2 linked regions of the Schizosaccharomyces pombe genome follow. Changing the gene in region 1 together with any one later gene gives a genetic interaction. Each region holds a gene or a part of one and is shown in the gene's direction. Other genes may lie near its edges.

Region 1 (4,741 bases):
CAAAAAGAATGACAATAAAATACTAATAATAAAGGAGTGGAAATTGTGGGTCAAGAAATTATCAATGCAGTACCAGTATTGAATAAACAAAAATCTATGAAGAAAGAAAGCGGAAGTGCAAGAGCCGACTTTACGTCGAATGAAGGGACCACGTTAAAATTTTTCAAATGTACGTCCGAATTGACGCTAGTCTCCTTAGAAACCTTCGTTTTCTTGCAAAAGATTGTAAAACCTGTTTAGCGGTGTAGTTTGTTGAAGGATGGATACGCTGGTAGCAACAAAATACTAGGCGTAGGTAAACAATCTAATATATCAGCGTTCGAATCCGGCTGCCATCACATTTTATTTAACCCGTTTAGCAAATAGATGAGGTGCTTAATCAACAATAACGACGACAACCTCTGAGCTTCACGAATATGCTAAATTTATAGCGCTTCACTAAATCGTATACCGGTTCGCGCTAAATAAAAACTGATGCTTAAATTCAAATTTCTGTGTTAGTAAAAGAGCAGATAAAGCGAGGATAAAAATGTAGGATGTTGATTAAGACTCTAAATAGAGTAGCGCAGAGAATAATACTAAATACTGAAAGACCGATCCCGTTAAACTAATATCAAATCCATAGCATCAAACAGAGGTTTGTATTATGTATCCTATGAACTATCCTCATCAATAATTGCTTATTATAATATAACATAAACATATACAACTTTCGTGTAACTAGCCAAGGACTACTATAAGTAATATGGTTTATTCATACAATGCTAGTTCCTATACCTATAGAAATTCGTTTCCTGCTGAGCTTATTTTAAGCTATGGGTAAGCGAGTCAAAAACCAAAGACGCTATTTGTAAAATGGCAAACGAAATTAGGTATTCTTGTTTTAATTATAAGCTTAAGAGACATTTGACATCTCGTTGGTAGTAATAGAAACTTGTTTTTTAACTTGTTCCATTCGCTTTAATGATAGCTGCACTGCCCTTGGTACTTTATTCTTGAAACTTTTTAGATTTTTTATATATCACAAAGCTTTTTCTAGTTCACCATTCTCAATTTTAGTGCTTCCTTAATCTAATAGTTGGTTTTGTACGCTGAATTGGTTTCGCATTTAAAAGTGCATTAGTACGTTTTTGAGAATCAAGTATAAGACATTTCAAGTAAATTGAAAAATTCCTGTCAGTAATACTTTATATCTAAGTCAAATGGTGTCATCTGATAATAAAATCCCTCAACAGTATTATTTATCAAACGAAAAATGTCATTAGTCATGAAAAGCTTCATTCGCTTATTTGTTTTGAAATTAAGAATGAAAGTTATGACTACATATCAATTCATTAAGCTGATATCTTTAGTATGCAATCCATTATTTTATACCATCTCCACTTTTTGTAAATCATTAAACATAATATCTAAAGCCAATTTAGCATTATTCAAATTCGAGACTTATTATTTTAAGTTTGTCTTAGAATTTCATAGTTTGCAAACTGTGTAAAATGAAATACGCATGGGTTTGGCAATTATACAAAAAGCTGCTCCCGAGCACAATTAGTTTAACTAGTAAACTCATGCTTTTCGAAATGGCATCAAAGCCAAGATAATTTGATCATATAAAGTTTTATTATTTAAAAGTTCCTATATTAAAATACTGCTATAGCTCACTCTAATCCTACAACCTACATCAAACTTTACATTACCTTGGTCACTTATAGTGAGCACATACCTTGATCATACATATGTCTGCACGATCCATACTCTAATCTGTGGTTTCTGAAAATTTACACGTAAATTAAGATAATTTGAAGTAATTTATTTTAAAATAAAAGATTAGTCATGGATGAAGCGGATTCTTGGGAGCTTTATTTGGCTCTTGGACTTCCCAAAGATGTAAGTATAAATAATCTCATTTGGGAATGCATATTTTATTAACATTTCCTTTAAACTCTAGGCTACAAGTGACCAAATAAAAGAATCATATTACAGACTATCAAGACTGTTTCATCCTGATCGTCACACTGCTGACCAGAAGGCAGCAGCTGAGGAAAAGTTTCAAATTATACAACATGCTTACGAAGTATTATCTGATCCATCAAAAAAAGAGATTTATGACAATTTTGGAGAACAAGGATTGAAAACAGATTGGAATGTTGGATTTCCAGGGAAATCAGCTGAAGAGCTTAAAAACAAAATAAGGGAGCAAATTCAGGAAAGAGATATCCATGAAATCGATTCTTTGGTGCAGAGTCGTTCTGAGACTACGATAGTGGTCAATATGACCCCCTTGTTTGCCAGAAATATTCGAGTTCAGAATGCTCTTGGTTTAGGTGCTGGTACTAGAATGCTGACCCCTTATGAACGATTTTCCTTAATCCAGTGGGTATCTTTTCAAATTAAAAGCTCTTTCTCTATTCCAACATCGTTTTCCAATGACCTCAAAAAGCCGTCTTTCAATTCTTTTTCCTCAGGCTCTTTTGATGATGAATTTTCCGCGCCTTCAGATGAAGATGAAGGCAACCATAAAACATCCTCTCGTTTATCTATAGTCACTGAAGCATCAATGAGACAAAACTCAAAGCTTCAACCTTCCATTTTTGCCGTTTATCATTCTCAGCCCTCTCCTAACCTTAGTTCTGAAATTGGATTTTCTCTTTTGAGGCCAGGTTTAATTACCGTCAAGTCAGTGTACGCTATCAATAACCAAACTTTTATTGTCCCTCTTATTCAAATATCGGGTCTAAAGCGTCCCCCGCAAGCCACCGTAGTCATCGGACGACAAATCACTCGCTTTGGTACTCTTACAGCACGCTGGAAAACTGGTGTGTGGTCACTTGGTTCTTGGGGAATTGCTTCCCCTCGTGGAGCGAATTCCTCATTTTCACTTACTTGGCAGCAAATGAAAGCTATTCCAAATAGTTTGGTCCCTCAACTCAGTTGGAACGCTGAAGTTACTGCTGGTTTAATGTATAGCGGTATTGCTTACAACTATAATTTAAAAAATGCAACTGAGGACTCACCATATCAAATCAAACTCGGGACTTCGATGAGTACAGTAGGAGGTCTTCAGGTTTCCGGTGATACGAGTCGTAAAGTTGGCCGTTATTCAACCTTTGGAGTAAATATTTCAGTTGGTGTCCCAACTGGCTCTATTACGTTTAGTCTTAAGTATGTTCATTTCTCGATTTCTTCTCAACTACAAATACTAATTTTTTTAGTTGGTCACGCCTTGGTCAAAAGATTTCTCTTCCTATTATGTGGTGTAGTGTGTTTGATCGTTCTGCAGTCTTTTGGGGTCTCGTATTTCCGATTACTTCTATACTTGGAGTTGAGCAATTTTTCCTCCGTCCCAGGCGACTTTCCAATCAGAAAAGACTGCGCTTATTACGATTACAAAAACTTAAGGATTCTCAAGAACGCAAGAAAGTTTCTGCAATTCGAGCTGTTAAATTGATGAAGGAAATTGTAGAGAAAAAACAGAAATTGGAAATGGAGAAAGGCGGTCTGGTTATTGAGTATGCCGAGTACCGAGTCGTTAATTGCGGTGCAAACGAACCTGATTTAAAGCAAGATGTGACTATATCAATTGCTGCTTTAGTTGAAAACTCTCGTTTAGCTATCCCTTCTAGTGTTTCAAAGGTAAAACTATGTCGCTTAACATTTCATTTTTGTTTTGATTGCTAACTGTTGATTTAGTCGTCAATTATCGGAATATATCCATTATTTTCTGACAATGAAAAAGAATTGGAAATTGTTTATACTTTTCATCAGCAGCGGCATCGTGTTGTTCTCCGTGACAAGCAAGGTGTTTTTTTGCCTAGTCGAGGTATGCTCTCATATAATCATATTAAACATGTATTAACATCCACAAGAACACAAAATTTTGTCTTAAATGATACGTCTTTATTAAACAATCATTGTTTACATTTTCGCTAAATTAGCTCCTATCACATTTTTTTGTTTGTTTATGTTTTGGCATTTTTGAGTATAAATATTACAACGATTGATCACCGTCTTCCCAGAGCATAACCCTTTCCTTTACTAACACAAGTAAATTTATATTTCTTTTGCTTTGGCAAAAAAGATAATAGCTTGCTTCAAGGGTGACTTACTGTCGAACTTGTTCTCATCTAGCCGGGTTGCTATTTGTGTCTTAGGCACATTTCCTCTTTTGGAAATTTTGATAGAAAATCAGGATGAATATAAAGAAAAAGAGCTTTCTCTTTCAATTTTTGTTCGGATGGATTGTACTGTCTTCGGCTCAATGGCTATCGGTTTTGGATGAGGCAGAGAATTTGAACTCTTCTTTTTCATTAGAAAGTGTTGATTCTTTTGCTCCAGTAAGACCAAGGTTTATAATCGATGAAGACTTTGCTGAAGATTACAACCTTACTGTTGATATCTTGCATCGTCCACTTCAGGAAAATTTCGATTCTTTCTTTCCAAACGTTGAAGCGTATGTTGAAAGTGGAAATTCTAATGGTGATTTGATGAGCGACAATGGTAAACTAGATGATTTAAATTCTCGAGCGGCCTATTCTGCCCTTAAAGCCCTTCAAAACTCTTATGGATCATCCCATCTTTATCGCTTTACACCCTATGAATTGTTTGGGCAATCTATTTGGATTGAAGAAGCACCTGAAGTGAATCATGTCGGTTGGTCTATTATGTTCGATAACCTTGGCCGTTACTTTTTACTAGAGTTGCGCGGTCTACGCGAGGTTACTTTTGCTTTGTTTATTACTTTTTC
Region 2 (5,761 bases), on another chromosome or scaffold:
GTAATTTGGGGCAGACCACACTGTCGATAATTTTTTTTCAAACAATATTTGATAACCTTCGCTGCATAGTTGATGAGCTCGTAAGATGTGCTTCATATTGTTGTATTCTAGAAATTTTGTTACAATAACTTCACCGAAAGAAAAACCTGCACCACGGGGCGAAAGTGAAAATTCTTGCACGCTAGGATCCGGATCCGACCACACGAGATCGGCCATAGGTCCCTCGTGTGGGAATTCTCTAAACCTGTCTAAGACAAGGATTTGATCTATGTGCTGAATACTAGGAGAAAGTCCACCATGAACACAAAAAATAGTGTCATCAATTGTTGCAGAAAGTGTTAGGAAATCAAAGATATCGGTAAAATATTTCCAAACATTAGCATTACCGTATTTTCTTAAGCATTCTGAATAAAATCCATAGGTTTGGGTTATTCCTCTGGACTCATGGTTTCCGCGCAAAAGAGTAATCCTCTTTGGATACCGTAACTTGAGACATATCAAAAGGGTTATAGTTTCTATACTATAATAGCCCCGATCAACATAATCACCTTCAAATAGTTAGCAACGAATAATAAAGCATGTGCTGTGTTCTCAATGTTCAGTTTTAATGATTTGTAGTAATCAGCTAATGTGATTCTAATGAACATCATTTTAACTTACCGAGAAAAAGATAGTTTGTGTATGGGCATGGGCCTCCTATACGAAAGATTTCAAGTAGATCATCAAATTGGCTATATACTTTGTAAGCAGAATGTCCACAAAGAATGAACTTTTTGCAATATTGAATCTATGCATACCCATGAATATCACCAACCACGGTAATGGGAGTAGACAACCTGACAACATTGCTTTCTTGCATTAAAACTTCCTTTGCGAGAGAACAAAGATAAGCAATAACGGACTCAGCAATCAATTGTTTTTCATATAATCTCTCTATTATGTTATCGAGGTCAATCATCTTTAGGAATTTCCGTGAAACTAGTGAGATTTATTAAAATACAAAAACAATGTCTTGCACCGTTTTGTATTGGATATATATAATTTAAGAAGACACAAACAGTGCTTGGCTAGGGAAAATTTCACCCAAGGTTTGTATCAGTCTAATCGGCTTTGACCGGATACGCTTCGAAAAACAAAGGATTAAGCACTTCTTATATGGAAAGCTTACGCGTTACTTCTCTTTATTTGCACGCATTAGAAAAATTCCACTAAAATGTTGTATGTGTCAGTTTTATGAAATTTGGAGGTTGGTTTCTGACTTGTCAGTGATCGAAACTACACGATTAATACATAATACTGTGTAGTTCGCCAATGAGATTTTAAGTTAAGAAAGCCTCTAATGGTATACCCAAAGAACAAAAATTACATAATGCTTGAAAAACGTGTTAAAATTCTTTCAGACATTCTATATGAATATCTGTCTCTTCTGCTGAAAAGGTTTAGTGCTTCTCTCGTTTCAGACCATCAGATAAATATTTCGGTTGAAAATAAGCGATAATTGATTAGGTATATTCTTGTATTCAAAGATCAGTCGGTCATTAAAAAACTCAGTTATGCAATACATTAAAATATAAGGAAAATCAAGAATGAAAATAGTAATAGTTACATGGCCTTTCTTTTTAATTTTTTTTTTAAATGAACAACAATACAAGCAATTATTGTTTCAATTAACACTATTTTGTTAGACATTAGCAATTTAAGTGACAATGTCACCTATTTACCATCCACTTCTTTGAACATGAATTTCCTAGTAACATTTCACTCTTAGTAGTACCTGCATTATACCTGCATAAAAAATTATTAAATACAGCCATTTTTAAGGGGTTAACTATACCCGTCTGTACATAAATATATTTATTATTATCTACTTTCTTTAAGCAGATAGCATCAAAACCTACCAATTGTTTAACGTCTATTATCACGCTAAATGGTTGAAAGCAAAATCATTAAGCTGCTTGAACAAGTGCAATCTGCTGATCCTAATTCAAGAATACAAGCCGAATTGGGGTTACGAGACCTTGAGAAATATCACGGTATGCTACTTAAGCTATAAACTAACCGAAAAAATTACTAACTATCTTTTACGAAGATTTTGCTGCGAAGTTAACAGATATCGCATCTTCTGGTGCTTCTGTTCCTTTAAGACAAGGTTCTCTCATTTATTTACAAAGATATATTGTTCACCATTGGTCTCCACTGTTTGAGCAATTTCAAGATGGACCGATACCCGATGAAAATGTCAAAAAACATGTCAGAGAAACACTATTACATCTTTTAGTGAGCCTTGACAATTTCACTTTAATCAAGGCTGTGGCATATGCTGTTTCTCTAATTGCAAACGTGGATTATCCCGATGAATGGCCAGAAGTTGTACCGGCCGTTCTGCATCTTTTACAATCTACTAATGAAAACTCTATTAATGCTTCACTGGATGTTCTGGACGAGCTTGTAGATGAGTCCCTTGTTGAAGAACAGTTCTTTATTATTGCACCTCAACTTGCATCCATTCTCTATCAGTTTATATTTTCCGCTCCCCCTAATGATTCCATGAGGATGTTGCAAGCTAGAGGAATTAAACTGTTTCGTTCTTGCCTAGAACTTATTGAGATTTATAAAGAAACGAAAGCTGAACATGTTCGTGTATTTCTTGAACAAATACTTCCCCCTTGGATGGATATGTTCTCGCACAAGTTTGAAGTTTCCCTCGTTGATGATCGACAAGTTATTTTACCTGATTCCTGTGGTTATTTTTGTATCATGGGAGAAATTGCTATGACTCTTACAAAACTTCGCGAATTGTTTCCTTCTAAATTGACACCGTACGTTGTGACCTTCGTCGAACTTGTTTGGAATATTATAGAAAAGTTACTAGATCCATATATACGAGAAGTTGTTTTTAGCGATGGTTTAGATGATTCAGCATTTGGTGATAAATACCCTATTCGTTATTTAGTTGAACTACTGCTATTCGTTTCTGTAGCTTTGCAAAGCAAGTTTGTTCAAAACTTGTTTGTCAGTAATACGGTCCCCGTACCTCCTTTACCTCCTTGCATTCCACTTCTGGTGCAATATACGCAACTACCTAAGCATCAAATTGAAGTATATGAAAGCGATGTCAGTGAATATATCGCAAACGAATTTTCTATGGATTTTGCTAGTGATACGGTTCGCGGTGCCGCCATCAGCGTACTAAGTGCATTTGAAGAGCATACCACTTTACCAATCCAGCAAAGTCTACGAGAAATGTCCGCGACTTACATATTAAACAATGAAATCAATTGGATATATCAAGAAGCCCTCTTGTATGCATGTTGTTCCGTGGATGCTGCTTCAGATGACACTTATGATGATTACTTGGACCCCATATACGAGGCTATCAAAGTCCGTATTGATTACTCCGATGCTCCAATTTTACTTCTTTCTAGGTTTTTCCTCTTTATCGGATATTTCTCTGAAAGCACCGTAGTAGCCTCTCAATTTTTCCAAATAATAATGAATAATTTGGTTAATGCTTTACAAGTTGATACTGTACAGTATGCTGCTATGAAAGCTATTGAGCGCTTTTGTTCAGTCGGAAAAGTCAAACCGATACTTTCTTTGCAGCCGATGATTTTGGAAGTTCTTTCTCAGTATGCTTCGAAGTCAAGCGATGAAGCTCTTGTATTACTTGTGGAAGCTATTTCTTCTGCGGTAAAACTTGATTGTGCAAAGGCTGCTGAATTAGGTAATTCTGTTATTCCACTTCTATTTAATTTGGTTGCTACGAACGCTTCTGATCCTTACATCTGTGGAATTATTGAAGACACCTTTGAGGACATTATCCATGCGGCAAATAACTATGAAAGTATGTGTGAAATTACTTTGCCAGAACTATTACAGGTCCTGAATCAAGAAGACCCGATTATGGTTAATATTGGGGCTACCTTGCTTTCTTGTTTGATTCGTGCAGGTCCTTCACCACTTCCTAATGGATTTGTTGGATATGTCTTGCCCCCTGTTTATAAGATTACTCAAATTCATTCTGGAGACACAGAACTGCTTCAGTTATCTCAGGAAATTCTTAAGGGGCTTTTGGAAAAGGACACACCACAATTATTGGAAACGGAGATTTCAGGTAGTAGTGGCTTTCAATACATTCTTTTTATTTTGCATCAGTTACTTGACAAAGAGAGTGATGATTCCGCCTGCTTTTTAGTTGGGCCTATCTTACTTGAATTGGCTGATCACGCAAGTCAAATGGTCGATCTTCAGTCCATTCTTCTTTCTTGCATTAAGAGATTGGCAATAGCTGAACAACCACGGTTTATTCAAGTAAGTTCTTATTGAATACCTGTTTCTGACTTTTATTTAGAGTATAATTTACGTTTTTGCCAAATTAATTGTTAAGGACTCTTTGGGAATGATGCACTTCTTGACATCGTCTTTATTAAATGAACAAGGGCTAACGGCTTTTGAAGTACTTATGACCGTTTGGTGTGACAACTTTGTTTATTTTAGCAACTTCAAAAACATTTCTATAATGTATGTCCTTATATTATTTGATGCTTATATAAATTCTAACCTGAAAGTTGTATTGCTATGACTAAAATTTATTCTTTTGACAGTCCTCTACTTGATTCAGTTCAAGTTAAAGGTGAACTTATCTCTCATTCTAATCGCATTATAACCCGGTCGCAGTCTAAACTTCGTATGTTAAAAGCTTTTGATAGTTTTCATTAACCAAAACTAGATCCCGAGGAATATTCATATGTAAGCGTTGGAGAAAAAATATTGCGACTACTTTCAGAGGAATTTGTTTCGTTGTCTAAAGATGCAATTGTTGAAGAAGTTTCCGATGATGGAGCGGATGATTGGGATGACGGTCCTATCAGTGCAGAGACGTTTGGGCTATCAGCTAATGGTACGCGAGACCTTTAAAAGAAAAGGCTAACAATAGATGTTAACGAATTGTCCAAAGATGAATTTTCTGGCGTAGACAATTCAGAAGATGAGGATAATACTGATTTGCAGGTGGGTTAAAGTTTTGGTTTTTAGGGCTAACATTTTTAGTTTTATCTTCTAGAGTTTTTTAAGGAAGCTATGAAAAGCAATCTGCACAATATCAACGAGGTTGTTTTTAGACTACCTCAGGAAGAACAGGATGCGCTCGTTCAAATTAAAGAAAAATAAAGGTGTAAAGGATTTAAAAAATCAAGAATACCTGAACGATTTCCAATAGTTTACTTGCACTATAACATTTACTAATATCATGTGCATTAAAAGGAAAGTAGGGTAAAATTATACCTTTCAGAGTACTTAAGGCTCTAGGTATAAGGTCAAAAGGATTATTTAAGCTGAAAGGGACTAAAGTATATGAAGAATAAAGTTGGTAAATTAATTCTTTCAAAAGATACATTTTTTAAATTAAAATAAACAGACAAACTTAGTTCATTATAAACATAAAAACAAGGTTATATAATACCAATAATTACCATTTTATTGGAGAGAGTATGATGGTAATTATTAACAAAGTGCAGATAAACGAGCATGAAATAAGGTCTTATCTGGAGATTAATATGGCACAAGTAAATGAGCATTTCAATATGAAAATAATTAAGACTGAAAAAGAACAAAATTAGGTAAATCGGCATTAAAATATGCCACCGTATATCTATGCAAAAATTCAAGAAACACCAGGTCAGCAAGCTACCGAAAGGTAAAAGTCACAAAAAGGAACGGGATTATTTCGTAAAATCAAGGGAATCCATAGTCAAAAGAAAAC

The links.
Region 2: mutations in mib1 (region 1) and kap114 together harm fitness less than expected from each alone (positive genetic interaction), as found in Schizosaccharomyces pombe (one large-scale study listed by BioGRID).

The regions. Positions count from the first base shown.
Region 1 is NC_003421.2:835,775-840,515, forward strand, and holds mib1 (DNAJC11 family protein), read left to right. Parts: upstream 1-1,710; 5' UTR 1,711-1,830; coding exon 1,831-1,884; intron 1,885-1,945; coding exon 1,946-3,159; exon of another isoform or gene 3,160-3,209; coding exon 3,210-3,630; exon of another isoform or gene 3,631-3,687; coding exon 3,688-3,817; exon of another isoform or gene 3,818-3,820; intron 3,821-3,863; coding exon 3,864-3,883; 3' UTR 3,884-4,187; downstream 4,188-4,741. Other genes in the region: spore wall alpha-1,4-glucan synthase, meiotic Mok14, read left to right, coding at 4,188-4,741.
Region 2 is NC_003424.3:2,372,552-2,378,312, reverse strand, and holds kap114 (karyopherin/importin beta family nuclear import signal receptor Kap14), read left to right. Parts: upstream 1-1,760; 5' UTR 1,761-1,927; coding exon 1,928-2,033; intron 2,034-2,089; coding exon 2,090-4,311; intron 4,312-4,351; coding exon 4,352-4,521; intron 4,522-4,542; exon of another isoform or gene 4,543-4,568; coding exon 4,569-4,687; exon of another isoform or gene 4,688-4,729; coding exon 4,730-4,900; exon of another isoform or gene 4,901-4,936; coding exon 4,937-5,010; exon of another isoform or gene 5,011-5,049; coding exon 5,050-5,169; 3' UTR 5,170-5,261; downstream 5,262-5,761. Other genes in the region: ppa3 (protein phosphatase type 2A), read right to left, coding at 1-548, 661-731, 798-958. UniProt on the Schizosaccharomyces pombe protein: Required for nuclear protein import and mediates docking of import substrate to distinct nucleoporins. Serves a receptor for nuclear localization signals. Mediates the nuclear import of TATA-binding protein (TBP) and of histones H2A and H2B.